2 linked regions of the Arabidopsis thaliana genome follow. The protein of the gene in region 2 binds, or shares a complex with, the protein of the main gene of each other region. Each region holds a gene or a part of one and is shown on either strand. Other genes may lie near its edges.

What was found.
Region 1: NF-YA2 (region 2) and NF-YB3 share a complex: the UniProt entries of both Arabidopsis thaliana proteins name them as parts of the heat stress-inducible transcriptional complex.

Annotation. Positions count from the first base shown.
Region 1 is NC_003075.7:8,341,926-8,351,147, reverse strand, and holds NF-YB3 (nuclear factor Y, subunit B3), read right to left. Parts: upstream 6,800-9,222; 5' UTR 6,486-6,799; coding exon 6,000-6,485; 3' UTR 5,824-5,999; downstream 1-5,823. Other genes in the region: IAA14 (indole-3-acetic acid inducible 14), read left to right, coding at 1,225-1,445, 1,637-1,866, 2,004-2,139, 2,452-2,569; AT4G14530 (agamous-like MADS-box protein), read left to right, coding at 7,265-7,672; AT4G14520 (DNA-directed RNA polymerase II-like protein), read right to left, coding at 8,075-8,677. UniProt on the Arabidopsis thaliana protein: Component of the NF-Y/HAP transcription factor complex. The NF-Y complex stimulates the transcription of various genes by recognizing and binding to a CCAAT motif in promoters.
Region 2 is NC_003074.8:1,672,865-1,683,994, forward strand, and holds NF-YA2 (nuclear factor Y, subunit A2), read right to left. Parts: upstream 6,105-11,130; 5' UTR 5,688-6,104; coding exon 5,642-5,687; intron 5,526-5,641; coding exon 5,256-5,525; intron 4,940-5,255; coding exon 4,845-4,939; intron 4,734-4,844; coding exon 4,515-4,733; intron 4,427-4,514; coding exon 4,058-4,426; 3' UTR 3,640-4,057; downstream 1-3,639. Other genes in the region: AT3G05685 (Cystatin/monellin superfamily protein), read right to left, coding at 916-1,125, 1,279-1,380, 1,459-1,635, 1,991-2,044; AT3G05700 (Drought-responsive family protein), read right to left, coding at 9,568-9,676, 9,941-10,206, 10,308-10,385, 10,673-10,815. UniProt on the Arabidopsis thaliana protein: Stimulates the transcription of various genes by recognizing and binding to a CCAAT motif in promoters.

The sequences.
Region 1 (9,222 bases), on a different chromosome or scaffold from region 2:
ATGTGCACTTTTAGCTTATTTAAGTTTTGAACGGCTCATTATATTCTTATTATTTTTGATATCCAATGATTAACTAAAATCAATGATAAGAAATTTGATTATAATACGTCTAAACAAAGAAAATGTAATTGAGCATGCTAATAAATATAGTCACAAAGCCGCACTTTCCGTCGAACAAATTATACGTTCATGTGTGGTTATACTTGAACCACATGATTGGAAGGTTCGGAAGACAAGCTTATTTTAATTTGATTATGCTCTTTAATAATGATTTAATGGACAACTGAACAAGCCCATTTTCCTAAAATTGCCCCATCATTTCCCGGAATTTCAGGACAATGTTGAGAGAAGATGGTCCAAATTGAAGTAAAATATATACTAAGATTGTTATCATTGATTATTTGTTGTACGTCTTAATTAGGATCAAACTTAGTTGGTCATAACTATTTTCACCGATGCTGACTTCGAAAGTTTTAAGAAATATAATTATATGATTAAATCATATAATAATGTTGACCAAATACGATTCACGGAATTTTTACCGCCCAATTTCTGTATACATGTGATGTGATACGTGAAGAGTTGACCAATGGAGGCAACGTCTAACAAATTGGTAGGCAATTAAAAAAGTACATTAATCATAGAAGTGATCAATAAAGACATTACTTAGACATGTTGAAAGAGGTACTCATGTTTTTATAATATCATTTTTATTTACTCGGAATCTTAATATATTTTCATTTTTATTTACTTAACATATTTTGGGCAAACGTATGTTCGTATTTTCAAAACCTAAGAGATGTAACAATATCATTCAACAATCAACGGTCATCACTCATCACCTATACTTTTCAGGTTATTGACATGAAAGAGTGAGATTTACTAAAACAACCTACCAACGTTTAGCAGAAGGCCACGTGTTGAGAACCCACATTGCAAGAAAATGTAGGGATTCCATGCACTACAGCAGATACACAATAGACCTTTGTATTTTAATAGTTAAAGAATTAGAAAAGTCAGACGACTAATCACGGGTTTAAACCGTTTTTTTTCTACCACTATAGTATAGTACTATAGTCTCTTTCTTCGTCCCTTATATTATCGACTCTATCTCCTTACCTCATTCTTGTTCCCCTCTTATCAAACTTCACCCCCAACAAGAGTTATCGAGAGAGAGAGAAAACATATTCTGATTTAAGACATATATAGACAGCAAGAAGAGATATGAACCTTAAGGAGACGGAGCTTTGTCTTGGCCTCCCCGGAGGCACTGAAACCGTTGAAAGTCCGGCCAAGTCGGGTGTTGGGAACAAGAGAGGCTTCTCCGAGACCGTTGATCTCAAACTTAATCTTCAATCTAACAAACAAGGACATGTGGATCTCAACACTAATGGAGCTCCCAAGGAGAAGACCTTCCTTAAAGACCCTTCTAAGCCTCCTGCTAAGTAAGTTCTATTTACACAATTCCTTAAGAAGAAGACCTTCCTTAAAAGGGAAGACTTTTTTTTTTTTTTTTTGAGATAAAAAGACTAATAGTTGATATAAAAGTTCTTAAAATACATATATATGAAAGATGTAAGGATGCATAAGTAATAACGTTATTGAATGTGTGTGTGTGTTGTTATATTCTATGCAGAGCACAAGTGGTGGGTTGGCCACCGGTGAGGAACTACCGGAAAAATGTTATGGCTAATCAGAAGAGCGGCGAAGCAGAGGAGGCAATGAGTAGTGGTGGAGGAACCGTCGCCTTTGTGAAGGTTTCCATGGATGGAGCTCCTTATCTTCGGAAGGTTGACCTCAAGATGTACACCAGCTACAAGGATCTCTCTGATGCCTTGGCCAAAATGTTCAGCTCCTTTACCATGGGTATGCATTTTCAGACATATAAGTCGAATTATCATTATTATTTTTGTGTTTACTTACAATTTTTTCTTTTTAACGATACAGTTTTTTCCATATACGACTAATTAATATGATAAGTTTTGGGATTTTGATTAATTAAGGGAGTTATGGAGCACAAGGGATGATAGATTTCATGAACGAGAGTAAAGTGATGGATCTGTTGAACAGTTCTGAGTATGTTCCAAGCTACGAGGACAAAGATGGTGACTGGATGCTCGTTGGTGATGTCCCCTGGCCGTGAGTTTCCTCATTCTTCTTGCTTTCATTATTATGACCAAAATTATTCTCTAAACAAAAAAAACAATATTCTCTAAAGCATTATTATTGATATTACTTATCAAAAAAATACACAAAATGATAATCAATATCCATGTGTTATAAACACGCACAGCCATCTTTTGGTTGGCATGGGACAGAACTCAGAGACAGAGAAGATGTTTATATATAAATACTAACTCATCAATATGTTACCTCATTTGTAGCTGGCACATATTCTTTCACTTTCAATAGATTTCTAAATTTAGTCACCAACCCAAATCCCGATTTCAGGATGTTTGTCGAGTCATGCAAACGTTTGCGCATAATGAAAGGATCCGAAGCAATTGGACTTGGTAAGTTTTCTTTTCTGTTCGTTTCTATAAGTGGCTCTTTTCTGTTTTTCCAATAATGCTCGTGTTTTTTTTTCAGCTCCAAGAGCAATGGAGAAGTTCAAGAACAGATCATGAACAAAAAAAAAAGAGGACAATATGCATTGATTTTTTTTTTTTGGTATTGTTATGATCATGTGTTTTTAATTTAAAATATTGGAAGTATATAGGAAAATATAATTGTTTACGAAAAAAATAACTTTAAATATGTCTTTTTTTTTTTTTTTGAAATTAGTCTGTGTTTTTGTTTTCATCTCTTAATTAGTAGAAATCATTTTTTAATATGTAATTGTGATAGTAAATCTATAGAGTTCGTATTTTTGCTATTTAAAATTTAAAATGCTAATACTATATATAATTTATGATAGGTAAATTTACGTTAAATAATTTATCTCCACTTTTCCTACTTTATTATTCTTTTCCTCTTTATTTTCTCATTTATTGGCTTTACAGATTATATTTGAAATTTGTAACTATTTTTGATGTATCTAAAAACATTTCACATAACAATTTCTTAAGAAAACTAAGAAAACTGTTGGTATATTTTTTGACTAAAATGGTTTCCAAAAAGATTTTGAAACGAACTAAAATCTTCATTACAAAACCAATTTTAAAACTACAAAACAAATATTCATGGTTTTAAGTTTCTTTTTTCTTTCCTAGTTACGTGGGAATACGTTATTAAATTCAGGACCCATGAGAGGCGTAGGGAACAAGAGCATGTGCATATTCATGGGTCTTTCAAATTCAGTCCATCCTCTTCATGCTAATGTGCCCTTCACCACTAGAAGCATAAAAATTTTCTTTCCTTTTTGGAAAATCTCTCTGTTTCTTTTTTTTCAGTAAAAATTAAGATTTCATTTATAAAAAATATCATAAGGGGTAAAATACATATGCCGGGTAAGAAAAATAACCAGTTCAGAAGTTAAGCCGGCGAGAAAACGGATTTTCTAGAGACAAATACATATACAAAAAGGAAAAATTCCAGAATAAAAAAAACATATTAAAACTGATCCAAAACTTCCCAAACTTATCACTTAAGAACTCAAAAATCTAATACAAATTCTAAATCCAAATTAAAACAAAATATAGATCTGAGATTAGAGATCCATTCAAAGAAAATAAAATCAATATTCTTCTTACCGTAAACGGCGGTGAGACAAACCAACACCCGAAGACCCAAAGGAAAAAAATCTCATAAAGAAAGGAAGGAGATCGAGATCTTCAATGGTGAGAAGTATGCATCTAAGGCGTTGAAGAATCGAATAGATCTACCTCTGGCATGGTTGGAACGACCAGAACTAAAGCTGTAGATGAAGGAGTAAAAAACAAGCAGCAAATCCCGTAGATGAAAGGATTTAGACTTTATTGATCTAGATATGAGAATTTAGATCTTAAACCATTGGAAGAAAATATGATTCAGATCATACCAAAACAAAAAGAAATCAAAACTAAAGAAAGAAAGTAAAGAAACCTCGCTTCCGATGCTGAAAAAAGCCACTGAAACAAGTAATCTTAGGCAGCGGCGGAGAAAGCTTTTTTATAGAGAACATAGAGCTTTTATTTTAAGAGACAGAAAATTTTTTATTAAATCAAAAGTGATTTTTGAAGTGTTTGGAAAATCTCTCATTTTTCCTTCTTTTTTAATATTTTACAGAAAGTTAGTTATTTGACACAATAAATTAAAAATTATTATTAATTTCCCATTAATGAACTGAAGAATTCTAGTTACTCCTACAATGAATGATAGTTTGGATAATTGATGAAATGATTCCGAATTATTCTCCTCCCTAAATGCTTGGCATAACATCAGAATATCTAAACCATTAGTTCTTTAGTTGGTTTTGGTATGGCATAAGGTGAGAATTCCTAAACATGCTTTCGCAGTTTATAACTCTTTATTTTTAACCTCAACCCTACTATTGATAGGATTTTTTTTGAGATGTCATGTTGAACAAACTTGCTTTAATGTGGCATTGAGGGAGAATCTAGGAATTCACCACTTGCACTTAAATTATTCATTTTCAGCTCAAATCTGAAACAAAATTATGGTAAAGTTGTTGCCTACAACCCTACCTATTGAATGATTCCAGCACCATCCGCCTGTCATCAACAACTTCTACAAGCAATGACATCTCCATTGCACTGCTTCAAGCATGTCATGCGTGTGTTTACGAGGTTTGGCATAAGAGTACCACATGCATCCACAACGCCACAACTCTTTTCCAGCTTCGCTCTACTACAAAGTTCTCAATGTTGTGAGAACAGAGCACAAAGCATGGTCCTTCACGACCCAAAAAGGGTAAAAGCTTCTCCTATTGTATTGCTTTGGAATGTTTTGGAGAGATCCTTCCTATACAACTCCTTTTTGGAGTGATTTCTTGAAAGCTCTACTTCGATGGAAGAAGCACTAGCTGTACGAGCTATTATTATCATGAGTTTCTCTTTAATCTTTTGAAATTAGTCTTCAATATGGAGTCTGTCATGGAGACTTTCATTTAGGTTCGTCGGAACTTCCTATCTGATAAATTTTCAAGCCTTTGTCGTTATTTATAATGTATCGTTTCAATCTTGTTTTTAATTCTACACCGTATGATCTTCTCTGTTTTGAAATTCAATGTTGAATACAATTTGCTTGACAAAAACAATAATGGAAAGCAGTTTGGTTATTGTAGTCATGGTATTTGTTGATAATTCTTTATTTTTTCCTGATTTTACCTGGCTGATGTTTTGTTTAGTTTTTTGATAGAAACTTAGTTTTGATATTTGAGTATTGCTTGTAAGAAAAAATCTTTGAATATTTGTGGCATAACATGGACTAATGGAAAACCCAAGCTCTTAAAAACCTGGACTCAAATATGAAATTTTCGCATCACAACACTTTAAAAGAAAAACTAATATTACATGCTGTGGTTTCGGGCCTGGAGGAATTACGGGCTTCGGCCCAGAACCTCCTGAATTTCAAAAAAAAAAAAAAAAAAAAAAAAGATCAAAGATCAAAGATCAAAGGTTACGTTTTAGATATGCCCTTGATTACATCTCATGTTCCCTGCATCAAAGTAGAAAAAGTTTTTCAATGACTCTTTTTAGCTTGATGCTATAATTATATTCCCACTACAATTTTTTAGGAAACATTTTACTCTAAAAAAAATGTATGTCTCTCTCATTTGATTTTTCCTCCTAATTCAACCATAAACTTCGATATCCTAGTTTACTTTTGTTACTTTCATCTTTCACGAATAAACACCCTAACCTTCTTTTATTCTTTTTTTTTGAAAAAAGTAACACCCTAACCTTACGAATCATAAATTTAATATTTATTTTGTTACGTTAGTGGGTTGAACCTAGTTTTAAAAAAAAAATTCTGTAAACATTATACTAAAAGTTAAACATATATATATATATATCATTAATTAATAAAAATGAAAATTTGCTTTTATCATTTTACAATTAAGAAAAATGATGGGAAAATTGATGTCCCATCGTAGTCACCATGCCACCACCGTACATCGGAGCTCCTCCACTTCCACTTCCAGCTCCACCGCCTCCTCCTCCACCTTCCTTATCGCCTTGTCTCCCTGCCGTAGTAGTCTTCTCTCCTTCCACCTCCCTATACTTTTGCAGATAAACCTTGAGAGGCTCCACGTAGTCCTCAAACCCTAGCGTAGTCATCGCCCAAAGAAGATCGTCACCGTTGATTGTCTTCCTCTTCTCTCTCTGACACTTGTCAGAAGCCTCACCGGTGATGAAACTTATGAATTCCGATACACACTCTTGAACCGTTTCTTTAGCATCCTTAGAGATTTTTGCGTTCGCAGGAAGTGCTTTCTTCATGATCCTGCTAACGTTAGCGATCGGTAGAAACCTATCTTGCTCACGTGTCGAAGCATTTCCACCGTCTTTGTGTCCTCCTGAATCGTTGTCCGAATCCGCCATCTTTAGATCGAGGAGACAAAAGGTCGAGAAAGAGAGATAGATGTTTTGGGTCCGTTGGATCAGAGAGGATAATAATCGTATCGTGATGACACGTGGGTAGTTATAGGTCGATTGTTTGTCGATAAGATTATTACAAGTGGATGTTATTTGGATAGAAAAGGAAGAGAGAGACTTGATAACCGGTTCTGTTTTTTCGGTTTGCCTTTATTATAAAAGACTCTTGAGTTCTGGTTATATATGTACTTTTGGTTTTTGTCGTTTATATCATGAAATCAAAAAACAAAACCCCTAATTCAGATTTTATTAAATTGATTTGGGCCAAAAGAAGACAAAATTTTGAATTTCCTCTTGCAATGGGCCTGATACGGGCCTAGATCCCTCCTATAAAACCACCGACATTTTTATATATACAATTGTTTCTAGGTTTCTTGTTACATACACTATCTATAAAGAGAGAGAGGTAGTGTCCCTCAAAATCTCTGTGAAATCAAAGAAAGCAGAATGGGAGGACTAAAGAGAAGAATTTCGATTGAGAAGATTCAGAAGAAAGAGTCACGAGCCGTTTGTTTCTCCAAACGTCGTACCGGTCTTTACAGTAAAGCCGCGGAGCTATTATGTCTTCTCTCCTCCGATTCACAGGTTGCGATCTTGACGACTCCTTGTTCTTCCAACTCTCACGTCTCCTTCTACTCCTTCGGCCATTCCTCTGTTGATTCTGTTGTTTCCGCTTTCCTCAAGGATCAGGGTCTTGTTCGTAAAGAGAATCTAGGGTTAGAGTTATGGTGGAAGACGAGAGTCTTGCTAAATCGGAGGATTCGGAGGAGTTGAGAAAAGCGATTGAGTCGATGTCTACGATGTTGAGAGATCTGAAGGAATTGGAATCTGTGAATAATTATCGAAGAGATCATCAAGAGGACGTCAAGATTAACAACGACATCAAGATTAAGAATCTTGTTTCACACGAAACCCTAAATCTTCAGTTAAGTTCTGCAACTTTTGGCGTTCCTGATGATGATCGTCTCAAAGAAGAAACGGAGATGGTTGTATTCGATGATCAGATCTTGGCGATTTTTGAGAGTAACGACAAACCTACAGGAAACTTGGAAGATCAAGAGATAGATCTTGATCAATTCCTAGATTTTGATCAACTCATAGATTTCGAGGGTTTGATCGATGGCGATTACTAGAGCACTCAAGAGTATCCAGAGCCTGCTGAGACTCGTCTTTTGATGAATTCGAAGATGGAAGATGTCTCGATGGTGATGAAAAATCCAAATCTGTGGTCTGATTCACAGAGGTTTAGATGAAAGATGATCCTTTTCAATGAGTTACCACACCATTGATGCAGTTTGAAGATAGCTCAGCAACTAATTTTCTTATATGCTTTTGTATGTATTAGTATTATATCAATATGTAACTCTGTCGGTATTGACCAATTGAAATTAATAGAATGTAATTGGTTCTGTCAACTTTGTTTACAAATATTTCTTGTCGATCCAGTTTAACACGAAACAACCCCAACGAATCTGAGGTTAACCTAAAAGCAAAAAAGTATCTAAAGACTTTTAACTTTTGGTGCCTTGTTTGGGTTACATGTATGGCTCATCTGACCCTGTAAGAGAGATGGGACCAAATGAACCATTGCCTTCCAAAGTTGCAAGAACATAATAGTCGTTTCTTCTCTTGTGTGGTCTCTCTTTAAACCGCACAGCCAACACCTGAAACCGCACAACAACTCCAACAGCAATCTTTGAGAGGTCGTCTTTCTGAAAATGCGGTTTCTCGTCCTCCGACAATGGTGAGTGGACATAATGATAATGTGGCATTTTCAAGAGTGAGAGGTATGCGTATCTGAGTGGTCCTGACCTGATAAAAGCTCCGTTCCACAACACTTTTTTTACAGTCCCTTGCAAGATATCTCCTCTTGCAGGCAAGAATGTGCGGCATGTGAAGGACACCGGGAATGTGAGGATTTTTGCTTGATGATTGTTTTCGTTGTCGATGTTGTTGTTCTTGTTGTTACCGATGCTTTTTAGAGCGGTGATGCCGAGATAGAATCCGTGTTCCCTGCACGCTTTCTCGTGTATTAGATCTTGGAGTAGTCTGCATAGAATCGGTTGGTGCGGCGATTGGCCATTCAAGTGTTTGGCACATATAGCCACGTCTCGAGCCATTTCTACTTCTGAAAACATTCGTGTTTATCTGTTACCTGAAAAAAACACAGGAGATTCTAAGTTGAAGGATGAATCATAAAATCCGCAACCAGAAATGATAACCATCAAGCCTTAATAAAGATTATAAAGCAGTATAAACGCAGGTCATAGGTCATAGAGAAAACATAACGTTTAAAGCAACGAAGCAGATATAAAATGTTTTGACGGCTAAATAGATTGAAGTTATATAGCATTGAACCTTATATGGTACCTGCATAAGAAGAACTTAGTTACTGATCAGCCCACTCAATTCTACATCAGAGAAAAGGAATCAACCAAGAGACAAAATTAAGAGCAAAGTACTCAAAACTGAAACTGCTAATTTTACATCAAACAAACAAAAAAGGTACTGAAACTGCAGTAACAAGACTAGAGGTCAATAATTTCTGAGAAAATCACACAACCTGAAGTGATCTCAACAAGATACAAGAAGATATATGTTGCACTTCTCAAAGAAAATCACATTAAGCTTCCAGAGATATGGGCATTGATCCACGATTCAGACAAGAACTAGCTACATAAAC
Region 2 (11,130 bases):
TGTTCCATTCGCCCTTGACTTCGTACAGAGCGTGATCGAAGAAAGAAAGGTTGCTACATTGATCACTTGAATATGTTAAAGTTATTGTTTTCTATCTACCATGATTTTACATTTTGTTAGATCCTTGTAATTGATATTAGTATATGGATGGATATGTTTGATTTTTACTCATGTGTCATACATAATATGAAAACATAATAAAAGAAAGAAATCCCAAAAGCGAGGATACTGCATCAAAGGAGACACATGCCATGCTTCCAAAGTTATAAAACACAAACATTTAATTTGAAGTCTCTTAGACCAGTTATTTAGCTAACATAGAGATAAGTACCTAAAACATAAATATTGGCACAACACAATAGAAGTGATTTAGTACGACTAAGTCGAATACAAACAACTTCATATTAGATGACCTGGTGCGAACTCCAGCCTCTGCATCAGCCAGCGAATTCCATCTTCTCGATCAGCTGCTAGTCTAATTTCCAGTCCCAGACGAAAGAGAACAGTGATAAAAACAAGTCAGCAACTTAAGACTCTAATAAAAATGGCCTTCTAGAATCACTTTAGAAGAGGAAAATATCTCCTTGTCTACCTACAGAGATATCTTATTCTGAAGTCATGCACAGACAGTTTACAGTTTCAAATAGATCTAAACAGTCAGAAGATACTTCTCACCCTTAATCCCTATACTCACTAGCATGGAAACAAATAGTAATAAGACAATGCACTTCAGCTATCCTCCAAGTTAGATAATTGTAGTGACAGAAATGATGAGCCAAGACAATTCGCTGAGATGGTTATTAATCTGCCTATCTTTCTAAATCTAAAACTTAATATATCCAAATACGCACAACAATTCAGGCTATATAAAGTATCAACAGCAAAAGAAAGTCTGGGTCAAAAACCATACCTTTACTAGTTTTGGCTTGGAGGCTTTGTTGTGAGAGCCCGTCTACAGAGGATGGGATAGTTCTGGTTTCGAACAACCGTACACCAAACCTTAGCTTGATACTCAACAGGAGGTCCATCAGGTTTCTCCCTAGCCATGAATGTGATGAACGACTTTGACCTTGATCCTGCTGAAAATATACCTCGCACCACTTCCACAAACTCCACATCGAAACCCTTGAAACAATCAGAAAACGAACCAGATTTATTAGATAAATACACTTGTAAAGAGTTGAGTGATAATTAGCCAAAAATAATATACCGACATTTTCGATTCTTTTCTCTTCGTTGTACTTTTTGAGACAGAGACAAGCCATCTCTGCAAAGTACTCGGTAGGTTTGCCCGAAACTGGCAGGCAAATCCAAATTAGGGACTACTTTGTAATCCGAGTAGTTGTACCATGGCCAAAGCTCTCGCTCCACATAAAACCCCTAAATTCAGGCACACGCACTAGTCAAGATTTACTCTTTATCCAGCTAACAAATTAAGTTCAAATTCAATACGGTTACCTTATTCTCGATGAGCTGGCGCTTAAAGCGGCGCCATTGATTTTCATCTTCGTCATTAGAGAATTCATTTTTATATTCAGAGGAATTGTACTCGAGACCTTCGAAGCTGTCCACATCCCATTCAGGGACTTTAAACCACGTCGGATGTTTTAGCTCCTCGTTAGGGTCAACGTACTCCTCGCCGAGAGAGAAACTTAATTTGCTCTCAAAATTAAATAAAATTAAATAAAAATTGCTCTCTAAATTTATTTATTTTGATCCTTTCAGTTTAATTTAATATAAAATATATATAAATACAAGAAAAATTCAAAAATTATTTATTTTTAGCTGAACAAATCGTTATTCACTTTAAAATACGAGTAGCAAAGAATAGCAAAATAAAAGTGAAAAAATTACACAATATTTCTAATGTTCAAATATCACACCGTAAAATTGCTCTATATAAAATTAACGATCATCATCAGTCTAGGTCGGTGTTCCATAGATTGGAGATATGGGTGTTGATTCCTTAGTTCTCATGATGAGTTTGAACTTCGAGTTTGTTTCTAGCAGCTGTACAAATTTGGTACTCATCAGTTTTAGCCATAATGATAGTACAATCAATATATATATCTAACATGCTTATTTATGTATTTTCTGTCTCTCTCACCATATATTCTAGTTACAGGAGTATATCAAGTCATGGTACAGGTCTAGATTCTCTTAACTTGATTACTAAACATTAGTTACGGGAATCACAATATTGATTACTAATTAATTAAGGTCATATGGATTGTTTTAATTTGATTTATTAGTTTTTATGTTCTATATTTCAGGAATTTTACAATGAATGATGACGATGAACCACGAAGACCGATAGGTGGAAGACACCAAAAACCCAAGCTACCAAATCTGGCCAATGAATCAAAACGGGCTAAGAATCGGGCTGCTAGTCAAGGTCAACAACCAGTTCAACAAGAACTAGTCGAACAAGGACCAATGAGTTTAGTACTGGTATTTATACGAAATTCACCAATCAACTATTTACAAAACAATAAGTCTAGCACTCGGTTTTAGATTTTTGTTTTCATTTGATAATTCAACCCAGCTGGAATTTCATAATATTTTCAGACAATACTACCAACACAAAACCAAAATTGACCAAAGTCCAACCAAGATGAATTATCAGAATCGATTGATATCCCCTATATAAATTGATAATCATTCTATAAAATAAACTTTATCCTCAAGTGTTATTAACAAAATTGTCATGCTGATGTGTCGTTATCATAGTGACTTTTTACCCATTTAAATAATTGCCCAAATTTTACTAGACTATATACAGATTTTGTCATTAGTATTATACAAACATATAACACAAAAATTAAAAACGCAATCATAACCATAATACTACATCTATAATATAAAAACAAATTCAAAAACATATAATCCTGTATATAGAGTGTCAATATCTTCTTCATCTACAATAATACAAAACTTCACAAATATATATTACAGAAAAATTGTTTTCACCCTACGAAAAATATATAAAACAGTATTACTAATACTCTAAGCGAATTATTTTATAATATTATATTATTTATCCAAGCTATAAATATCAAAAAAAAATCATGATCATTTTACAGTAAAAACATAGTAATAGAATATGAATATTTTCTTTCATATTTGCTAATATATTATTAATCATATCATGGATATCACATATAGCTATCTAAAACTTAAAGATATTATAGATTTTGGCCACTACAATAGATTATATACCTAATCCAATGTTAAATTTATTTAATATTTATTCTTAAACAAAAGTAAATGCAGTTTCAAGTATAATCTTATTATATTATAGAGTGCTAAATATTTTACGTTTTTATTTTTTTTTACTCTAAATATTTTACGTTTTTTGTAGCCATTTCCGCATTTATTTTTCACTACAGATTTACTTGGGAAAAAACCGCCATCTATTTATAATTTAGACGTTTAATACATGTAACATTAACTGCGGTTAAAAGCTAACCATGGTTGTTTAGGATATATATAATATATCGTTTCACATGTTGACAAATGGAATGTCTTAGTTGAGTGGTTGAACGTTGCTCGATTTTTTTTCGATCTCGGATCGATAGCTAGATTGATCAACCATTAGATTTGGAACAGAATTTTTTTTACTCTGTCTTTGCTGTATAAGTCCTGGATAATAAGCAAATAATAACATAAATTCGACCAAATATACAAAAACACAGGTCTTAAATATGTTACATAAACCACATAACTTAAAAGTTGTTACAGTTGTTTGAGAAACACACAAAGCCAGAGAGAGCTACAAAATCAGATAACAGAGTTTTCTTAAAACACACACTACTAGTTGGAACAAGTGGGTTTAGTGACCAAACACATCATTGTTCTTCACCAGTTTTAACTACTTTTACACTGAAGATAAATATATCAAAGCTTTTTTCACCTCACGGCGAAGTTACCTTAATAGAGAATGAGCCAAAGATGATTTGCCTGTTCACAGCCAAAGCGGATTGGCAAAAAGGAAAATCCTTTATACCAAGGCAAGAGTTCTTTATCTCTCTCCGTTTGACTGTGAAACGGTAAAGGATCAGGTTTTGAAATTGCAGCAGCCATTATCCATTGCTGCTGCTGCTGCTATCCACTTGCTAGGCATTACCATGCCACCAAGAGAATGAACGGGAGAACTTAGGAAGTAGTTCATGCTAGTAACTTCTGATCCCGACACATTTAATCCGTTCGATAAGTTCATGGTCCCGTTTTCCGGATGAACAACTTCAGAATTCTGAGAGTTACTTTGCTGAGGCTTAGGCTGAGACTGAATCTGCATACTTCCATCACCTTTCTTTGCATTGGTTCCGCTATTTTCCAAGTTCTGACTTTTAGTGTTCAAGAATCTCCCACCGGATCCTCTAGGACGCCGCAATGCATGGAGATGGCGCGAATGATGCATATATGGCTGCAACATACATAACAAAAGCAAACACACTAATTCAGTAATAAAATCTCATTTGCACAAAAGTATCAAACTAGTTTCTATATGTTACCTTGCGGCATCTACTACTCAATTTCTTCTGATCAAGAACAGCAGCAGCCTTTGCGCGGGATTGGCGTCTCCTTATGATTCCATGGTATTGCTTTGAGTTCACATAGATGGTACTATCTTCCGTTTCCATGTTTAGAGGAAGCATTACCCTGCTCTGAGATCCATAGGCTGAAACAACTCCATAGTATTGTTGTTCTCCATAGGGATACTTTGTATAGATCTAAATGACCAAAGTAAACAGCCAACAAACACTAAATACTCAGAAACAAATTAAAGGAAACTCATGATAGGCTTATTCATTATATGTTTTTCAATGCGGAAAAGTTTTTACCGGTGGCTGAGAAAATCCAAGTTCCAAGCAAGGTGATTGCATTGAGAAAGTAGCTCCATGAGGCTTTGGCACAAGTCTTGGACTCTTTACATCACCTAATACATACATAGTGAAAATTATTCCAAATCAGATCACAAACGCATTCTTAGATTCACAATTACCTACAGAACAAATAACATTTTTACAATCCAGAATTTGAACCATAAAGATATCTTTTTAAACATCTTTATATCTTGTAGAATCTTAGATTCTCTTTTCGGACAATTTAGCTCAGTTCTGTTCACTCTCAGTCATACCTATAAATAACTAGTAAAACATGTACTAGCACTTTCCAAAAAAAGCCACTTTTGACAAATTCAGAAATTTTCACTAGAACCATCTATTTGAGGGCAAAAGAAGTTAAGAGTTTACCAAGTGAGAAAGCTAAGTGCGTTGCAGAGTTGCTCTGTTTATCCACACGTTGTCCTGTCTCTCCGACAGATCCGACCTTAACTCCGGCGAATGAGTCAGAATCGCCGGCGAGACTCTCCGGAGCCAACGGCTGAGATCCAAAAGCAGTCCACCAAGAAGTCTGTGGAGCAGAGAAGAGACCTTCTCTCACAGTTTGCATAGCCATCTCCAAATTCCAATTACAAAAAGTGAAAAATAGATAGTGCCTAGAAGAATAAGAAAGATATGTTCCTGTGGAAGATAACAAAAAAAAAAAAGTCAACAAAGTAATAATAAGAGTTGGATGTGAAATCTTTGTCAAATTTCAAACCCAATTTAGAAAACTTGTAAGAAAGAAAGGAAAGAACTTTGGGATTGGGTATTACGCAAAACCACACGAATGACAAAACCCATATGTGAATCATCATCAAGAGACAGACTTGTTGTCTAAAGTAAGAAAAAAAGATTGTGTGAAACGAGAAGATAAGACGCAAGAACTGAAATCTTTTTCACAGACTAGAGATCCCCAATAGCAAACAAACTCCAAAAAGAAGTAAAATAAAATCCCAAATGTTGGTCAAAATCAAACACACGAAAACCTATGTGAATCTAAAAGAATAAAGCAAAGAAAAAAAGAGAAAGAGGTTGAGTAAAACTTACACAGATGGAGTGATAGAGTAGAGAGTAGAGAAGAGCTTCAGATTCCTAGGAAGAGGCAGAGAAAAGCCCAATTGTTAGGAAGCCATCTCGGTTCCAAAACAAGAAACAGAGATTCATTCACACACATTAGTATTTAGTAGGGAGAGAGAGAAAGAGAAGAGAGAGACGTACTAATATATGAATTACAAATGTAGATGACAACTATAGCTTTATCAACCAATCACCTTCAACTTTTATGCTGCTCTGTTTTTTTTTTTAATTTTCTACTTTATTTGGAGTTGGAGATATAAATGTAAAACAACTAAAAATAATTGGTCTGGTTTTTAACTATAGCGTTGGCTTGACGTGCTTTGTTTTAAAAAGCTACAATGATCCCACTTAAATCCATTTTTATTTCATTTTTGATTTTTGATATTTTTCCACTAGGTAAGAGTAGTGCTTGGCTTGTCAATTGCATCGTTTATTATTATGATTGTGGTCCTTGTAAGCTTTTAAATTAAAAATGTGCATATACGTCATATGGAAAAAGGATCACCACTCAAAAATAATAAAATAATTAAAACTAAAATAAAGTAACAATCTGACATCTTCAACAATGACATGCCAATATTTGCTATTATAAGCTCGTGACTTATTCCCTACCAAAACATTATATAAAGTCTGCCAGAATCAACCTTTGTATAATTCTGTAAATAGACCAAACATATTTTCGCAATAGCATTTCCACTTGTTGAGGATGTTATTCTTAACTAGGTTTTCAAATGTTTTTCACACATTTGTCCTTTTGTTTCCTCTTTTGTTATGTTTCTTTAAATAGTTCTAGTTATTTTGTGAACCCGACCGTACACGTGTTTATGATTGAAATTAGACAACTAATAGTTAAGCTCTATAGATATCATTCCGGAGACATTATAATACATGTTATATATTTGTAAGAGATTGCTTTTGCTTTTAGTGTTGGACTTGATTATTATGGATTAGCTTCCTTTACCTAATTTAAGAATTTGGTTTATATTAGATGTTGAATTGAACTTAACTGAATTAAATCTAAGAGAAATAAAATAAGGTTAAATTGAAAAATAGAATATTGGTTTACGGGCTTGACAAAGAAAAAAAAAGGGTTTACGTTAGTGCTTGCTTTTGTTTATACGTCGTGCACTGGTGCTTAAGCATATCCCACTAGCAGCTTTTCTTTCATCCGAAACACAATAATTAATTGAATTATGCACTATAGTACAGTAGTACGTACACTATCTTCTAACAAAAATATCTACTTTCACTGACATATAGAAAGCTCAGTTCTAGTCTTAGTTTATTGCTTTATCGTAAATATATATCTAAAGCACAATCTTTTTATGGATTTGTGATCAACGATTTTAATGTAGTTGGCAAAAGAACAACATAATTAAATAGCTTATTTTCAAATAATGTAGGGAATATAGCTAGACTGCAAAATGCGAATCATAAGACTCAAAGCAAAACTAGAAATGTTTTATGGTGAAGATATGAATTTGTAGTCATCGATCGATATAGTACTTTTCATGAATGTACGTTTTGCTAAACACTTTATCAATAAATAAAAAGTATGTTTTGGTCTAAAGCATTAAAGAGATATCAAAGCATGTTATATATCAACATTAAAAGGTCAACCTGCCACCAAAGGTAGATGAGGATGCAAGATGATAGTCAACGTACGATGGGTAGATCTATTGTTTTGTAATTGATTGATGTTGAGCTACATTCCACAATCAAAATATTTCTACAGATGAAGAACTTTCAAAATTGGTTTACTACTGTATATTGGTATATATAATATACATATTCGATCTACTCATTTTTTAGTCTTTTTCAAAGATTTCTACATGTAAAATGGTTTTCATATTAGTTGTAGATTTTAACTACGATGAATAATTATTATTTACTAAGAATAAAAATTGTCAGTCTGATTCGTCTCCTCTAGACACGTATAGATAACAATACTAAAGCTGCTCTGTGGGATGAAATTAGTTTTGACACTAATTAACCATAAACCTAATTACAACCTTATTATATAAAAGAAGATTAACAACACTAAGATATATAAAATAACCCATTAGCTTTCTTAAAGAGATTTTGCTTTTCTTCTGAAAATATATATAAAAAAACAGTCGCTATAGATATTGTTCATCTTATTCTCCTATGCGATTAATATGTAAGTCACTCATTGGCTCCACTTGTTCATAAGCTTCCAAAAAACACGATTACTGACTAATCACCAACTATATTTTTCTATGTTCTTAAGAAAATTGACAACCCAACTTTTGAATATGCACGAAATAACAAAGTATTAAAATGAAGTAGAGCTACATATGCATTCCACTTGAATACATGAACTAAGGACACTCAAGTGGAAGTCGAGTGTGTACGTTTATGGTATTAAAGGAATTAAAGAACCTTTGCTTACGACAGTAAAGGAATTAAAGAACATTTGCTTTTAGCTATGTCACTTCCTTTCCTCAATGTTCGATTGGATCGTTGGCAAACATAAAATTTCTTTTAACACACAAAAAAGCATAATCATCAAGTGTGTCAAGTTTGGTCGAAAAATTACAACCGCTGAGAAGAAAGAACTATACAGTTTTATTTTTCTTTCAAAAAAAGGCTGCATTTAGATAACTTCAATAACTCATTTACGTGTTTAGATTATTGCTTATCACACTCACTGACTTATCTATCATACTCGTTTCTTTAGGTTATTCAGATCTTAGCCTAAAGCCCAATACAATCTACATCTTACTTTGTACATTGCAAAACTTGATAATTCGATTTTAGTTGGATCCGAACATGGGTCCATTCTACATCTTACTAAATAATTGACTTTGGGCTACCAAAGAGATCGGCCCATTAAAGAATCTAAAACCTAAGAACGGCGAAAATGTGGAGTTTAGCAAAAAGTCCCACATCGGTAATAAGAAACAAGAGAAGCTCCGGGAACAGGGTATAAATAAGAGAGTCATGACTTTGAGCAAATCACTTACCTGGACGGGGTCAACTCGCGATCAAGAAGACGAGTGGCCTAGGCTAGTGACTCCCATTGCACATACCGGGAGGGTGCTATGCTTAAGGTCTTCCCTAGAGGAAGAGCCTACGTCATTATTTGTGGCAGCGGGGGTTTGCGTTCGCGCAGCCCCTACCATATCTTTTCAGTGTCTAAGTTTTTCGATAATCACAATCAGTAAATGGTGTAATTTTGTCTCGTTGTTGATTAGTTTGGGGATACCCCAGCTTAACGACTAACGAGCTTCAGAAACTATAATAAAGCTATAAATCTGATTGCAGAAGAATGTGCCTCTACAAAATCTGAAGCCGTTTCCATGACAAATTTTCAACATATATGGTCATTCTTATCCTAGTAAACAACTGGAAACGAATAATTGAACGCGAATACGTGAAATACATACATTTTTGTTTTTTTTCTCATGACCTACAAGCAATTGGGGCGTTAACCGCAGAAGCTAATGTGTTCTTAGGTTACACTCATTCATAATCTCTCTCCTTTATTTGCTCCCCACAAACAATAATTTCGTACTTTGTCCTGCTGAGACAGAACATGGAGTTTCCTCATTGCTGACAAGTTACCAGAAGCGATACTCCATTATAAGCTGTCATCAAGAATCGTAGAGCTCAATAGCTCTCGAACAAACTCACTGCGTTTCAACTTCTGCTTGTGATCCTCAGCTGAAAGAGAAGTTTTTTTCGCATTCCTATCATCCACAAAACCTTCATCAGTGATCCATACATGTCCTATATGGGTATAAGAACTCAACTTGATCAAAGAGTTTCAGTTTGGCTCATAAATCCCAAGTGTGCCCAAAAGTAAAACATTGAAGCAAATGTTCCAATGGAAAGTTATAGACCAAACACTTAAAATAACCTAGAATCATCTAGGTTCAATCAGTCTTGAAATACCAGATTTTTACTAACAAGAGGTTAGGCAAAGTAAAATGATTGAGAAGAAGTAAGCATACTGTTCGGGTAAACACTGAATAGTTGTTTTCTTGACAGGACCCGTTTCTGCAGATATGCATGACTCCGTGGTGAAGAACCCATCAGCAATAGGAGAAATGAACGACGATAACAATGGGTCAGCAGCTACATTGGATGATGAGGAAGACGATACTATACACGAAGATCCTCCAAAGAGGCTCTGAAAGTTTCCATCAGGAAACTCTCTCCTTAAGATCGATAATGTGGAATATGACCCGCCTCTTCTTGGTTTTCTCTTGCGGTGCATGTAATATTTTGTCAAGAACACAACTTAATAACAGACTATAGAAACACTGATAGAAAAGATTGATTGTTATATATGACTTGGGAGAAAGAAAAAAAGGATATCTTGAAAATATTAGCGTGCTGAAGGGTTATATGAGCAACCATGTCAACACCCACCCTAACCGCACAAACTGGACATACCTGCAATAACAATGTTCACTAGATTAAACGCTAAGTTTTCATAGAATCCAAACAAAATCCCCCAAATATCAGATGCAATAGATACAGCTGATCCTACTATTCCTTCGTGAATCGGCTATAAACATGCTATTATTCTCAGTTTTCTTTGTCATATCATCCAAGTAACAACAGAGGAGGAACCAACACCGCTCAGTCTAAACTTTTGAGAATCATGTGATGAATCAGAAATGTATAAACGCATCTTTATGCTTCAAATGGTTGTTTTAAAAAAGAAATAAGAAAGTTACCCCATTTTTGGCTTCCATAGGATGATCTTCATCTATGTGGCAGCAGAGAGAGACAATATCAAAATAGTCAGAACAGAAAGGGCAAGCAAACTCTTCCCTGAACTCTTCTTCTCCATCTATCTCTTCAAACCCTAAGAATGTATCTGCAATCCCAAAAACACATCAACCAAATATTTATACAGCAAAGCTATAAGAAAACAAAGAGAGTAATCAGATATACTAAACCCCTACTCTACCTCTGAGGTTACAGTATATGAAACATATTCTCCTCTTCTGAGGAGAACAATATCTTCACTTTCTCATGTTCATAAACACTGAGCATAGTAGCATCACAGGAGTAATTAAAATGCTAACAAAGACTGCAACTTTGGATAATTTTCATCCATTTTCTCAGGAATCGAGCAAAACCAGAATCAAACCATATTTCATCAGTCAATAAAAATCAATTACAAAAGCCC